2 linked regions of the Tribolium castaneum genome follow. The protein of the gene in region 1 binds, or shares a complex with, the protein of each later gene. Links are inferred from orthologs where the notes say so. Each region holds a gene or a part of one and is shown on either strand. Other genes may lie near its edges.

What was found.
Region 2: the proteins of Sym (region 1) and Ssu72 are in contact, whole or in part, in a crystal structure (PDB 4YGX), measured with the Drosophila melanogaster proteins. The link is inferred for Tribolium castaneum from reciprocal best matches to the Drosophila melanogaster genes Sym and Ssu72. Residues at the interface, in NP_649580.1 of Drosophila melanogaster: Glu91, Ala117, Lys121, Gln125, Gly128, Ser129, Glu169, Asn170, Asp171, Gly172, Thr175, Asn176, Lys179, Phe180, Arg198, Ser240, Ser241, Val242, Ile245, Ala246, Ser249, Thr281, Ser283, Gln284, Ser286, Ser287, Lys290, Met294, Gln295; in NP_001285455.1 of Drosophila melanogaster: Glu114, Tyr117, Asp118, Val121, Met122, Glu125, Glu128, Ser129, Val130, Asp131, Asn132, Arg133, Pro134, Asp168, Asp170, Asn171, Asp174, Gln178, Glu181, Val187, Ile188, Leu189, His190, Ser191, Val192, Phe194.

What each region holds. Positions count from the first base shown.
Region 1 is NC_087398.1:8,154,027-8,163,273, forward strand, and holds Sym (symplekin), read left to right. Parts: upstream 1-3,388; 5' UTR 3,389-3,536; coding exon 3,537-3,575; intron 3,576-3,625; coding exon 3,626-3,822; intron 3,823-3,866; coding exon 3,867-4,256; intron 4,257-4,303; coding exon 4,304-4,590; intron 4,591-4,638; coding exon 4,639-5,099; intron 5,100-5,453; coding exon 5,454-6,569; intron 6,570-6,620; coding exon 6,621-6,818; intron 6,819-6,868; coding exon 6,869-7,027; intron 7,028-7,081; coding exon 7,082-7,360; intron 7,361-7,509; coding exon 7,510-7,566; 3' UTR 7,567-7,628; downstream 7,629-9,247. Other genes in the region: GRIP and coiled-coil domain-containing protein 2-like, read right to left, coding at 49-3,215; Ccdc39 (coiled-coil domain-containing protein 39), read right to left, coding at 7,643-7,948, 7,997-8,187, 8,453-8,560, 8,607-9,247. UniProt on the Drosophila melanogaster protein: Component of a protein complex required for cotranscriptional processing of 3'-ends of polyadenylated and histone pre-mRNA. Involved in germline stem cell transit amplification, differentiation and mitosis-to-meiosis transition.
Region 2 is NC_087398.1:12,797,977-12,803,979, reverse strand, and holds Ssu72 (RNA polymerase II subunit A C-terminal domain phosphatase SSU72), read right to left. Parts: upstream 4,130-6,003; 5' UTR 3,893-4,129; coding exon 3,666-3,892; intron 3,601-3,665; coding exon 3,342-3,600; intron 3,292-3,341; coding exon 3,190-3,291; 3' UTR 3,120-3,189; downstream 1-3,119. Other genes in the region: Ns3 (large subunit GTPase 1 homolog), read left to right, coding at 1,144-1,245, 1,292-2,546, 2,602-2,807, 2,854-2,960, 3,006-3,117; protein O-glucosyltransferase 2, read left to right, coding at 4,388-4,563, 4,611-5,514.

The sequences.
Region 1 (9,247 bases):
TACAAACGTGACATCAGTCACAAAAACTAAATTTCCACTCTAACTTACTTGCACTTGTTTAGCTCCGCAGTGAGAGCCTCACACTTAACCCCCAGAGCTGACACTTCTTCCGACAATTTTTCCTCGAGACCAACATCGCGACTCTGGTTCTGTCTCAAGACACTCTGCGCCCGAACCTTGTAATTTTCGTAATCATTTTGCACGATTTTCAGTTCGTCTTCCTTCAGTTTTAGCGCATCTTGGACGTCTCTCAAAGTCTGCTGCAGCCCCAGAATTTGCCCTTTCAAATTTTCTTTCTCGCTTTTCAGGCTTGTGTTAACTTTCTGATGCTCGGCAATGACTTTGGATAACTCAGTCGACAGTTCCTCATTTTCCGAACGCACGGTTTCCAAAATTTGGGTCAAATCGTGAATTTTGTTCTCCTTACTCGACATGACCGATTCCAAGTCAGAAATTTGCTTCTTACAAGCGATAATTTCAGCCTGTGTTGCTCCGACTTCGCTCTTCATCTCTTCCGCTCGTTCTTCTAAAAGCTTGTTCTGTTCGCGGACCGCATTTGTTGTGCTTTTCTGCGACTCGAGCTGGCTTTTCAACTTGTTGATTTCTTCTTGCTTCTTTTCCAATTTCTGGGACAACTCCTTGACACTCCTCTCGTAGTCTTGCATTTCCAGGTTAAGGACGGAGTTTTTCTTGCGTTCGATATTGGAATGTTCAAGGGAATTTTTCGTTTGTTGGTGGTACTCGCTCTCGGCCTTGAGCGCCTGTTCTTTGGCCTCCAAGTCCGAGGTGAGTTTGGCGATTTTGGCCTCGTATTCCTTCTTCAAAACCTTATTCGCTTCGAGTTCCTTTCTAAACGTCGAAACTTTGCCGCTTATTTGCTTCTTCCAGGCTTCAGTCGTGACTTTCTCTTGGTTTAACTCTTCCAATTCTTTCTTGAGTATGGTGATTATCTCCTCGTTTTCGCTCAGTTTTTGCTTATCTTTGGAAACTTCAGCAAGGGTCGAATCCAATCGGGCGGAATATTCCTTTATTTGTTTTTTGTTTTCGTCCAATTCGTCTTGTAATTTATCGCACTGGGCTTGCAAAGTTGCGATGGTTTTCACGTTACTGGCACATTTTTGCTGAATATCGTTCTTCTCGTTTTGCTCCTTCACCAATTCGTTGGACAAGTCACGAACTTTCCCTTTCAGTTTCACGGCCAAGTTTCGTAGTTTTCCGTATCTTTCCTCCCAAGACCCTTCCAGATCTTTCATTCTGTTTGATTCCTCCGTTCTTGAAATTGTCGACGTGGACATGCACTCGCTATCGGCGTAACTTGAATCAAGATTCGAGTTTAACCGTTCTTTCAAATTCTCAATTTCGTTTTTCAAATCACTGATTTCGGAGGTGTTTGAGTTTAAGTCACTCGTGGCTTTAAGTCGCTCGATTTCGTCTTCAAGTTTTTTAATTATTTCCTCCTTTTGGGATATGTTGTCAACGTTTTTGTTGGCTTGTGTCTCATACAATTGCAATTTTTTCATAACTTCTTCGCAGTGAGATTGCAATTTGGAAATAGTCTCTCCTCTTTCTTTCAGTGCTTGATTCATTTCGTTCATTTCGGCCAAAAGTTCGGAATTTTCTCTCTTCAAACCTGACACGACTTCTTCCAGTTCGCTGTTTGTTGAATCCTCAGTTTGGCATTCCACTTGTTTGCAGTTATCACGGGTGGTTTGCAATTTTCGGTTCATTTCCACCAACTGGGCATTTTCTTGAACTAGTTTAAGTATTTCTTCACTGGTTTTATCAGCAATTTGCCTCTCCGTTTCTTTTGAATGTTCAAGTGCTTCTTGAAGACTGTAATTCTTCTGCTTCGCATCATTTAGCTCCCTCAAGTTTAAATCTAGATCCTCCTCCAGCTTGGAGATGACTTTTCGGTATTCAATGCAAATTTTTTCATTTTCTTCGATTCTGTTCTTGATCTCAATTGTGTCTTTCTTGCTTTGGTCGTCAAAAACTTTGATTTCTTCCTGATGTCTTTCCTCCAATTGAGACAAATTCTCAAGCAGACTCTCCTTTTCAACAGTGAGCGTTTCAACAGTTTGCTGGTAGTCAAGTTGAAGTTGTAACAATCTTTGATTTTCTTCAATCAATTTCTTATGTTCTTTGGAAATTCTCTCAAACTCGCCAAGTTCTTTACTTTTCTCGTCGTCGGTTTTATGTGCCTCAAGTTGTTTCAGATATTTTGCATTACTTTCTTTCAAACCTTCAATTTCCTTGTGATATTCAGAGTTCTGTACTTTGATATCACTAATTTCTTGGCACAACTTTTTTGAAGCTACACCCAACTGTTCTTTCCATTCTTCCACTTGATGTGAGTACGTTTTGAGCAAACGCAAAACCTCGTTTTTATTTTCCTTCAAAACCTTCACATTACCGGCCAGTTTTACAACTTTTGAGTGATAAAATTTCAGTCTCCCTTTAAGTTTCTCAACCAACTCCACATTTTCTCTTGTTTCATTTTTGATTTTTTCTAAATCCTCGACCAATTTCAATTTTTCCTGCAACTCTTGGCCTATCGTTAAAATGTTCTTATCCTTCTCCCCCAGATTCGTCTTGAGCACGTCAATTTTCTCCCTCATTGTGTTATTCTCAGCTTGCAACTTCTTAACTTCCTCTAAACTAATACTAAGCATCTTCTGCAACTCTGCAGACTTATCACTTGTGTCATCACTCCGTAACTTTTGATTCGCCTCTTCCAACATCAGCAGCTGATTTTGCTGTTCAAGTCCCAGGTTTTTGCACTCTTCGAGTTGCTTTTCCAGAGACTCCAGATGCGTAATCAGCTGCTCATTTTCATCCGTCAAACGCTTGATTTGCCTTTTATACGAAATATTCTCGCTTTCAAGCCTATCCTTCTCCTCACACAGACGTGCGTCTTGCGTGCAGTTTTGCACTTTATTCACCAAAGCGGCATTTTGGCTCTTCAAGTCTTCAATCGTGGTAACAAACTGCAACTTCTGTTGGGTCAAATTTTCGATAATTGCAGTTGTGGCATCTCCAGATTCCGATTTTAGCCTATTTTTCAGCTCGTTATTTTCCTCCTGGAGCGCGTCCTTCGCCTGTTTGGCCTTCTGGGCGAGAATCAAAAGCCGTTCGCACCGTTTAACCAATTCCTCTTTCGATAAATTCTCCAAAACGATTTTCTTGCCACTTTCGGATGGCGTATTCGATTCCATCTCGATAGTTACTTAATCTATTGTATTGTAATTTCCAAGTAATTAGCAATTACATTGTATTTTAATAATTTTTTATTATTTTGACACATCAATAGTATTTTGACAGCAAAAGTCGCCAACAAAAAGCGGAAAAGTTACTGTTTTTTGGTAACATGTTCACGTCACTTCTGCCATAACCTCAATCTTTGGCTTTCCAAAAATGGATGATTGGCTCTCATTTTCAATTAATTTAACGCTTTAGATAAAACTAGCTTTGTTTTCGAAATTTCGTTGCTTTAGTGGCAACAATTGCGTCATTTTTGGTTGTAAAATCCTCTCGACATGGATTTTACCATGAACGAAGTTTCCGACGAGGATTTAGTAAAAAACCGAGATTTAGTTGATTTCGGTAGTAAAGAGACGCGTTTTAGGTGACCCAATGGATAAATAGCGCTGCAGTGTCCCGCTCTGCTGCAGAAAAGCTTGAATACTTCCACAAATTGCAAGAAGTTTTGATTCGGAAGTCGCCCCATTTGCTGCCAAAGTTTTTACAAAACATGCTTAATTTCACGACTGATAGGAATGGGGACGTGAAAAAAGCGCTAGTGGGTTTTATTGAAGAGTTATGGTAGGTTTTATGCATTTTAATTGGTTACTTAACTTTTGTTTTAGCAAAATGCGCGAGTCTCTTTTACCTAAAGTAATGCTAAACCTTCATATGCTACTATGTGATGAGTCAATAGCGGTGCAAAAGCGCGTAATTCAAGCTTTAATCAGTATTTATCGCAAAACGTTGGCCTGGTTATGCAAGGCTTCTGTAATTACAGAAGAAATGGAAAACGCCTGGAAGCAATTGTCTGCCATAAAATTAGAAATTGCAAATATGATTGATAGTGACAATGACGGCATTAGGACTAGTTCAGTGAAATTTTTAGAATGTGTTGTGTTGTTGCAAACTTATCCCGACCAGGAAGAGAACAAGAAACCGAACGACTTCTCACTCGATGATGTTCCTCTGACGTTAAAATTGGCGCGGAGGCGAAAACTAGAAGAGGAAGCAAAGTATTTATTTTTTTTTAAATTCGCAAATTTCTAATTGAATTTTTTAGTACCTTGTTTGAGTTACTTTTAAAATTTTTTGGCTCTCCCCATATTAGCAGTGCCAACTTGTTAACCTGCCTGGGCGTTGTTACAAACATTGCAAAAAATCGGGCCGAATTTATGTCTCGAGTTGTCTCAGCTATTGAATCACTTTACAATAACCTACCTCCAACTCTAACAACAACTCAAGTGAATTCCGTGCGTAAAAAATTAAAATCCGAACTCGCTGGACTTATCAAACACCCAGCGGCTTACGAATTTGTGGAGAAATTAACCCCAATGCTCACCGATTTAGGTGCGTTTTATTTTTACGCAAAAAAATTTTTTAGGATTTTTTTCTCAGGTTATTCCCAGCAAGACATTCTTAAAATGGTACCGAAACCCGACGAGCGGCGGAAATATTGCAAGAGGACTCTCTCAGTTGAGTCCCTTCAGATCTACAATAAAAGACCTAGACTTGATCCTCAAATTGAATTCGATAACGACACCAATGACAGTGATTCGCAAACACTGCAAGAGTTGAATGAGAACTTTGTGTCTGAAAATTTCACGTTGGAAAGAGCGGTTCAAATGGTTTTCGCTTCTATGAGTAAACTGCCGGCTACAATGTCTCCCGATTTTGCGAAAGAGTATGGCAAATATGTCGATAGTGGAAAAGTTGGCCAATTTGATGTTTTGACAAAACTTATTGCCACGTATTTGACTGAGGCCGGGGTTTCGCCGTCTTCGAAAAGTTTTGCAAAAAAGGTCGAGGAATTTAGACAGCAGGAGAAGGAGGAAGAGGACAAGGAAGAGAAGGAAAAGGTAAGAAAACAATTTTTGCACACAAATAATATAATAATAAGTAAAACAGAAACAGTAATTTGCAATTCAGATTTCACATTTTCAGCTGTATTTAAGAAAAGATAAGATGTAATTCATTGTACCAAATATTTGTCTATTTATTTATTTATTTATTTATGTATTTATCTTTATCTGTTAGCTTATGTTGGTTCGGATGATTTGAGAAGTTATGTATCACGCATCCTGTATTTTTTTTAAGTTATGTTTTGATAACTTATCGTAATTGTGAGGTCAAAGAAATTTTAGTAATTATTCTTAAAAAAAAATATAATGAAGCCTCTATTTGTTTTACAACATGTTTTACACATTTGGTAGCTCCTGAAGAAGGAACGAGCAAAAGTTCCCCGAATCAAGACACTGAAACTGTCCGAAATCACCAAACCTATCGAGAAAGAAACAAAGGAGAAATTGTTAATAGGGTCCATAAACCGACTTTTAACCGCGGACAAAACAGCCGCAAAATGCTTGTACCAAAAACTAATCACCACAATCGCAGCCTGCTTTAGCCCCACTGTCAGACAAACAGTGTTGGCGTTTCTCCTATCAGACTTACGGTCTCACATAGACCTGGCCCTGGCGTGGCTTTTTGAAGAGTACGGAATACTGCAGGGCTTCTCAAGAGTGCCCCCTTTACGCAAAGACACCAAACTGGACAAAAGCTACAACATCTTGCTTTGCACATTTATAAACGCTTGTATGCACGACTCAGCAGTGCTCTGTCGATTGTTTTTGGAAGCGCCTTTAATAACAGACGAGGCTTTGGATAAGCTCCACCAGTTGTGCCGAGACGAGAAGAAATGCACAGCAGCTTTGGGGTTGTTGCACGATTTGACGGTCCGGAAGCCCCCCAAACAGTTGATGTTCCTCAACGCCCTCCTCTCGTACACGACGTACGAATTGAGCGTGGTAAGAGAGTGTGCCATTGGACACGTTTTGGAGTTGCACAAGAAGGTGGAGTTGAGGTTGGTGATTGAGGAGTTTGCACGAATGAATTTGGAGTTTTTGAAGTTGCAAAGGCCGCCGGAGAGTTTGTGTGGGTTTAGTCAAGGGAGGTTGAAGAGCGAGACTTGGGGCGATGATTTTATAAAAGCTTGTCTTATTCCGTATATTTCGCTATTGCCAGCCAATGAGAGTCTTATTCATGACTTGGCTAAGGTTTACGTACAGACGGGGGCCAACATTAAACGGATTATTCTACGTCTGCTTGAAACCCCGATCAGATCAATGGGGATGGACTCACCTGAGCTTCTAAAACTGGTGGAGGAGTGTCCCAAAGGCTCGGAAACTTTGGTCACGCGTGTTATACACGTTTTGACGGACAAGGGCCCCCCGAGTGCACAGTTGGTGCAAAGAGTCAGGGAATTGTATCACACGAGAGTGTCAGATGTTAGGTTTCTTATCCCAGTTTTGAACGGGTTATCAAAGAAAGAAGTAATGAGGTCGAGCGTCGTTTGTACTTTTGACTAATTTGTACAATTGTAGGTAATTGCAGCTTTGCCAAAGCTAATTAAATTGAACCCGGTTGTTGTAAGGGAAGTCTTTAACCGACTTTTAGGCTTACATGGTGACAGTCCAATTACCCCAACTGAACTTTTGGTCGCTCTACATTTAATTGATTCCACGAAAGCCGACTTGAAAACTATAATTAAGGCCACATCTATGTGTCTTCAGGAAAAACAAGTACGAATTATTTTCGCACCGAATATATTTCTCAAATTACCAAATTCCAGGTATTTACTCAAGAAGTATTAGCTGTTGTTTTGCAACAGTTAATGGACCAAACCCCGCTACCAACTCTACTCATGAGGACTGTCATCCAAGCTTTGGGCAGTTATCCCCGACTGTCAGGGTTCGTGATGAATATTTTGCAACGTCTGATCTTAAAACAGGTTCTGTCGTATTACAAAAAAAAAATAATCAATATTTTTTGTTGCTTTTTGAAGGTTTGGAAACAGAAAGTGGTATGGGAGGGATTTATCAAATGTTGTCAAAGAACAAAACCGCAAAGTTTTACTGTTTTGATGCAATTACCACCGCCCCAACTATCTGATGCGTTGTCAATTTGTCCCGAGTTGAGGGAACCGCTCAAAGAGCATTTGCTGAATTTTACTGAAGGGCAAAGGTCGCACATCCCGCCCACAGTCCAGGAAATCATTTTAGGAAGTTACGCACAGCCGCCACCAACGATTGTTCCGCCACCGGTGGTTGTAACTCCAGAAGAGGTAAGTCCTAGTGACTTTTAATACTATTTAAAATAGTTGAGATCGAAACTGTAATCAATTAAAAAGGCTTTGTTGGGTGGAACTGTTTTAGTTGCAGCTTAATCAGCAGTTCCAATTTTCTGCGGTTTTTTAGACAATTTTTTTTTCAGCCGATTGCTGCGCCCCCGACATTAGCCAACGAGCCTTTGCCGCCCGGAATGGAATAAGCGTTAATTTAACTTTTATTATCTCAATTTTATTAACAAATGAATAAAAAACCTTACTTTAATTGTGTATTTTTACCTACATTTGGAATGTAATTGAGACTTTTGAAATTGCGGAACTTTTCGTCGAACTGGACTCAGATTTGACGCTTTTAACGTCAGAAACGTCTTTTTCTTGATTACAAGAACTGCTGGACGTAGACCTTGTTGATTCTGAGCAGGCACACAAGGAGGCAATTGTGCGTTTTTCGGGTAATTTGACGTCATATTCGAGCGTGTAACGAGTAATCAGCGGTGCCATTTCTTGATAACGTATAGACATTTCCACCAAACGCTGCATAGCACTGAGATTAGCTTCCTTCAATTGGCGGATTTCCAAGTCTCTCTGAAAAGATAAACAAATAATAATTGGAAAAAATGTAAATAAACTTACGTCATATTTTTCACGTTCCTTGTGACGAACTTTCTTTTGTGCGAGTTTTAAACAACGTTCAGCTCTTTTGAGCTTTTCTTCTTTCTCAGAGCTTTCTTTCTCAGTTTTTAAGTACTCTTCCTCCAAGTCGAAAAGTGCGTCTTTGGCTTGATCGCGTTTTATTTCAAGCTCTTTTAGTGCATTTTGTACTTCTACGAATAATAAACGATGTTAGAACGTTTGTGTTGCATTTTGAATTTTTGTATTGTGAGTGAAAAACGGTAAATATTATAAAATAATTAATAAAACAACATTAAGTGACAGTAAGTTTTTTTGTTTACACTGTTTATCTGCGATAGTTTTTTTTTTCTTATGATTGAACGTAATTATGTAATTAAAGACAGGCGAGTAAAATGTTTGTAATTTTAGCGCAAGTTGTAAATAAAAATGTTCAATTTGATAATAAAATTTTGTTACCTTCCAGTTCTTGTCGTTTCACTGCCATCTTCTTCCTATTCTCCCGCAAAGTATCATTTATCAAAAGCATTTCATTTTCCAACATTTTCATTTCACTCATTTCCCGTCCTGTAACCGCCAGTTCTAGAAATTTGCAGCACAAGAAAATAGTTACCATCATCCTCAACCGCTCCAAGACTTTGCTTAAAGGCCGCATTTGTCAAATTGACAACCTTCAAAGTGTTTTCCATCGCAAGAATTTCCTTTTCTGCCTTTTTTATCTTCATATCTAGCTCATCTCCTTCCTGTTGCAACAAATACTTTTCTTGCGCATTCTTAATCTTAAAGTGAGTAACAGACAGTGGCTGTCCGTCCTCATCTTTCCCCAAACTGGTCAAAATAATGTCATATTTTTTCTTGAAATGGTCCAGTTTTAGTCGCCTTTCGGCGATATCGCATCTTAATCGTCCATTGTCTTCACCCAAGTTGCGTTTTTTCGCAAGAAGGATATCTTTACTGGTCTCAATTTCAAGCATGCGTTCTTGAGTCGCTTGTTCCAAAGTTAATTTGAATTTTTTCATGGTGTAGATACTGTTTTCTTCCTTCTTCATCGCTTTGTTCAATTGGTTGACACGCAGGCGTAGGATGTTCTCCTCCACTTGCTTCTCTTGTATGCCGTTTTTCAGGACTTGTAATTGTTTTTGCCCGCCTTCAAAATTCAAGTTCTGGTGTTGCAGTTTGTCTTTTAAGACGCTTAGTTGATTCTGGTCAGCTACGATTGCCGTGGTCAGTCTTCGCATATCATCTCGGATTTTG
Region 2 (6,003 bases), about 4.6 Mb from region 1:
AATTCTCGTGATTTTTCTGCTCCCAGTCATATTTGTCATAACCCTGTATTTCGCAATGGACAAAATCGGTTTCGTGTCACGCTTCTTTGACCCAAACTCGATCGACTCCAACATTTGGAGCATAATTTACCAGCCTATAAACGTCTCAATCCCGGAGAAGAGTCAAGAAATCAACGATGTTGTCAAACATATCTACACCATTGTGAACGCGACTCGGGACAACACCAAGATAAACATCTACCGGAGGCCTAAGCAGCTAGACACCTGCCCCGACTTTGACAAGATGTACAGGTTCTACACCTTGATGGTGTTCCTAGTCTATTTTGTAACAATCCTCTACACGAAAATCAAGGAAATGAAACTGCGGAGTGAGGATGCCAACGCCGCTAAGCAGCTAAAAATTGCCATTATTTGCTTCGCTGCGTTGTGGTTTTTGAGTGTTTTGGAGCTTTTCTCCAAGACTTATTTATTCGATAATAACAGATCGAACCTGCTCACGGATATTTTTCTAACGTTGGGGAACTTGAACCAATTGTCGATCATTGGCATGAATTATTTCACGGCGAGGGAAACCGTGAAAAAATATAACCTTGTGGAACCGAAAGCTTGAAGAAAATTTGTTCCAAAAATGAAAATTTCCCGACACCGGGCACAACAATTCCAACATTTACCTTTACTTTAAGACTTCCTGGACTCGCGGATTCGACAAAACGAAGCATCTATCCGTTCACAAACAAATTACGACAATTTTTAGTTTACGATTTTGACAATACCACGGGCTTGTATGGATTTTAATAATTTTGATACCAACAAAATGAAGAGCATCGAGAACTAGTTGTAGGGTTTTTGTTTTTTTCCTGTTGTATAGTATTACGCTAATAAACGATTTTACCGACACACTGCCCCTTTATTTAAAATCTCACACCAAAACTGTGCCACATTTGAAATTGTTATTAATTATTTATGAGGATTTGTGCCATAATTTGCGATTTACTTTTCCTAGTTGCTCGGTTCCTCTGGTTGGTGCACCTGACACAACACCAAAAATAACAAAGATAGCGCTATGTTGAAAAGAGACGGGTGGTCGACACCTGACAGTTGAGGTTATGTCTCCTCGTTTTTCATTTTTTGACTGAAAAAAACATGGGTAAAAAATCAAAATCTTCGTCTGGTTTGGGCCGTTCCTTGATCAAGGACCGCTTCGGGAGCACCAAAGGTCGTAAACTAACAGCGGACAAGTCCATGGTACTGTATTTTAACAAATTACAAAACATGAAATTTTTTATTCAAGTTGCATACGACGGAATTGCAAGATGGGTACGATTGGGGCCGTTTGAATTTACAATCAGTGACCGAGGAGTCATCGTTTCAAGAGTTCTTGGCCACCGCTGAATTAACAGGTGCCGAGTTTCAGGCTGAAAAGCTTGACATCAAGTTCGTGAACCCTAAATCAAATGTGGGTTTGCTGACTAAAGATGAGATGAATAAAGCGAAGGATTTGCATGACAAGCACAAGGGGGAGTTGCGGATTCCGAGACGGCCCCCTTGGAACGCAAACATGAGTAAAGAAGAGCTGGATCAAAATGAAAAAGAGTACTTTCTCCAGTGGCGCAAAGGCTTGGCCAAATTGCAGGAGGACGAAGGCATTCTCTTGACTCCTTATGAGAAGAATCTTGAGTTTTGGAGACAATTGTGGAGAGTTGTGGAGAAAAGTGACGTGATTGTGCAAATTGTTGATGCCAGAAACCCGCTTCTTTTCTATTGTGAAGACTTGGAAAAATACACAAAGGAAGTGTCACCAGACAAAATGAACATTGTCCTAGTTAACAAAGCCGATTTTTTAACACTGGAGCAAAGGCAAGCCTGGGCTGACTATTTCATGTCGCAAAACGTGAAAGCTGTTTTTTATTCAGCGGCTTTAGCTTCGGAAACCCCAAAAGAGAGTGAACCGAGAGGTGACGAGGACCAATCAAAACTGAATCAGCTGCAAGACTGCGTATCCAACTTGGAAAAAGAAGTTGAAAAAACTGCCCAAAAATTGAATGAGATTATTGGGGCCCTAAAACTAGAGTTTCAAAATTCAAGCGAGATATTAACCAAAGATCAGTTGATGGATTTGTTCAAAGACATTCATAAGGGGCCTAAAGTTACTGAAGATATCACTACTATTGGCCTTGTTGGGTATCCAAATGTGGGGAAAAGTTCTACAATTAATTCACTGTTGTCTGCTAAGAAAGTTTCAGTTTCGGCAACTCCGGGAAAAACCAAACATTTCCAAACGCTTTTTCTTACGAAAAATTTGCTTCTCTGCGATTGTCCCGGCCTGGTAATGCCTAAGTTTGTTTTCACAAAAGCCGAAATGATTATAAATGGAATCCTGCCAATAGATCAAATGCGTGATCATGTGCCCCCTGTAAATTTAATTGCGACGTTAATTCCCAAACATGTGTTAGAAGACAAGTATGGGATTATGTTACCAGCTCCCTTGGAGGGCGAGGACCCTGACAGGTGTCCCACTTCAGAGGAATTACTCAATGCATATGCTTGTAAAATCCAGTTGAAATATTTTTTATTAATGTTAATAATTGTTTTATTTTGTAGATAACAGAGGGTTTATGACTGCTAATGGCCAACCTGATAATCCCAGAGCCGCTAGATACATTTTGAAGGATTATATGAATGGTAAATTATTATATTGTCACGCTCCTCCAAATGTTGTCCAAAGGGAGTACCACAGGTGGCCAGAAAGGCAGAAATTTCGCTCTTTGGAAAAATCAGCCCCTCCTCGCCAAATACGTGCTATAAAAGTATGAAGATGGCATTAAAAATTGTTCATTTATTTGATTTTTGTAGACAAGTCGTGCAACAACTGAAGACGTTGATAAGTTATTTTTTCACGGAGGCTCATCAACTGTACATACAAAAGGAAAGACAGTGATAAATGGTTATGGGGCTGCCAAGTATGCAATGTAACGTTTGGTGTTTTTTCTATTTTTTTCTCGTAGTGGCAGCGTCCAACAACTGGGTGATAAACCTTGGAAAAAAATCAACAGGCATGAAAATAAAAACAAGAGGGAGAAATTGAGAAGAGTTTATGCTCATCTGGACCAACACTGACGTCTCTGTTATGTAAAAGTTTATTCAGGAAGACAAAATATAAGTTGTGAATATTTTATATGAACCAATAAATTAATTAAATACAATGCTGTGCAAAATAGGCCTTTGGCATTTTTCCTCAAAATTGTGTAAAACCTCCTCGATATCATTGTCTAAGTCCTCGGCTTTGGCTAACTGAAAGTTGAAGAAAGTCAATGATAATTCCCCACCCCTCATTGAGTTACCATAAGACACATATCACTTATTAAAAAGGCTCCTATTGTTGCTTCCTCCAAGTTATCCTGAATATCAATATTGATCACATGCACTATGGAATTATCTACAGGCGTTTTGCTCTCCATATACTCCACCACTTGGTCGTAAACTCGTTCCTCGCAAGTTATCAAAATATCAAACTTTTCGTCAGTCTCCTGGAACCTTTCTGGGTGTGTTTTAATCCTCCTGTTCCTATCCAAAGTGTGAAGTAAGCCATTTTGTGTGTACCTAGTAAATCGTCAAGGAAAAACCACACCACTGAACGGAACCAACTTCTTTAATAAAAAGGATACAGTGACTTGTCTTTACCCAACAAGTCGTGGTAAATCTCGTCGTAGGAAATGCCAAAATCGTATATGTTTGGCTTATCTGCTGCTGATCCAGGTATTTTGACCTTGTCCCCAGTTCCAAAGGACTGCACTAGGAAGCCTTTTTTCGCCAGGAAGGCATGGGCCTCCATGCTGCGGTTCATGTTGCTGGAGCATATTACCGCGATGCGTAAATCGCTAATATTGGACATTTTCTTAATTTTAATCCCTTTTTGTGAGAAATTAACGCAAAGTATTTAACATAACCCAAAAAACTATAGTCTAAACTTAAAAGAATATGATGCAATTTGATTGTTATAATAAATACAAATAGAGCTATGAGAAAATGCGATAATTAACTAAAAATTATCAAATCCATAGCTTTTATATGCCAAATTAGAAATTTGGAAATTGCTAATGTGGAATTCAAGGTCGCAAGGTGTAATAATTTTGGGAATTTTTGTCCAATTGTTGGTGTCACTGATGTTGCTTTTTAAAATTACAACGATTTATTATTAAGCAGGATTTTAGTAATTTCTCAACATTGATCAATTAATTGACCGAAAATATCCCTACCGGTCCTATTACTTTCATTTTGGGATTTTTTACAACAAAAATATTACACATCTTTCACTCCGCGATTTAAATTTTACGAGATTGGCAGTTCTGTGATTTAAAAACATGTCAGGCGCTTGTTAACCTCAAAAATGTGCAAATTTATTTATTTTTATTTTCCATTTATCGTACTGTTTTCTCACGTAAGGAGCGAATTAATTGTTAGTGCCAAATTATCAAAAGTATGGGGGCCTGGACTCAAACCTCACATTTTTACAATGCCGGCGAGGTATTTTTTTATTCAAGCCGTAAATTCAGAAAATCAAAGGTACAACCAATTTTTATACGTTTTCATTTAGTAAAAACACATTTTAGTATTTCCTCAGACTTGGGGGCAATCTTCGACATACACTTTGAAGGTGTAACCAAGACACAGAAGCCTTGCCGCATTTGGGCAAACAGTCTCAATAGGAAAGACGGTTCCTACATTATTAGATATAAGTTGTATGAGCCGTGCTTCAGCTTAAAAATTAATATACTCCTCAATAAGGAACATGTGGACAAGTCTCCTTATGAAATTCCAGAACCTGTTTATCCAGACGATTGTGATTGTCCAGTTGGTGATATTGCCCAATTTTTGGAAAAATGGGAATGTGGCAACACCCCTCGGCAAATTCTCGCCGACCTGAAGCCCTTCCAAACAGTTAATTGGGATAAACTTAGGGATAAAGTAATTAAAAAATTCGACCAGCCGCACTCAATCAGTTTGTGCCGCTACGTCATAAAAAATAATGAAATTTACCGTACTTGTTACGGAAAATACGTAGGTTTTAAGATGTTCATGGACGCGATTTTGTTATCCTTGAGCCGAAAAGTGAACTTACCCGACCTGGAATTTTTCATTAATTTGGGCGACTGGCCTTTGGTGACTGAAAAAATCGAAACATTTCCAATTTTTTCGTGGTGCGGAAGCACCACAAGTCTGGACATTGTTATGCCAACGTATGATATTACCGAATCAACACTAGAAAATATGGGTCGAGTGATGTTAGATATGCTCTCTGTCCAAGGAAATGTGAAAGAATCGTGGGAAAATAGAACAGGGCAAGCGTTTTGGCGAGGAAGAGACTCAAATCAGCACAGACTTGATCTGATTGACATTGCGAGGAAACATCCCGATTTGTTCAACGTTTCGTTGACGAATTTCTTCTTCTTCAGGGACAAACAAGACGTCTATGGCCCCAAATCGGAACACGTCTCATTTTTTAGTTTCTTTGATGTGAGTACAACAATTTTTTTAAGTTTGTTCTACGGAGGACAATACGAGATACAAAATCGCAGGATTTCCTGAACCCAAAAATAGTACGGCGCCAAATCGTTTTAATTAATTTGAATTCAACCAATTCACTAATTACTTGAAAAAAAAAAATGCAGAAATGTTGAGTTTTGCACTTTTAAAATTTTCATAAGAAGCATGAGAAACAAATTATTCAAACTTTGCGCTTCGTCCCGTATTTTTTAAAACGCTGCGAATAAGGTTAAAGATACAAGAGAAAAATGTTAGGAAGAAAGTTGTAAAGAATTAAATTTCTTTTAAAAAAGTTCGCGAGTCCATATCTCTATCGTCAATAGTTTAGGCCCCAAAGACGTTCAAAAACGCTGAAACGACGGATTTGTTTCATTTTACCGGTGGTCAAGTAATGGAAAGATAATTTATACTTAAATTGTAGAAAATTGAAACATGGTGTCGCGGACTTTTTATAGGAAA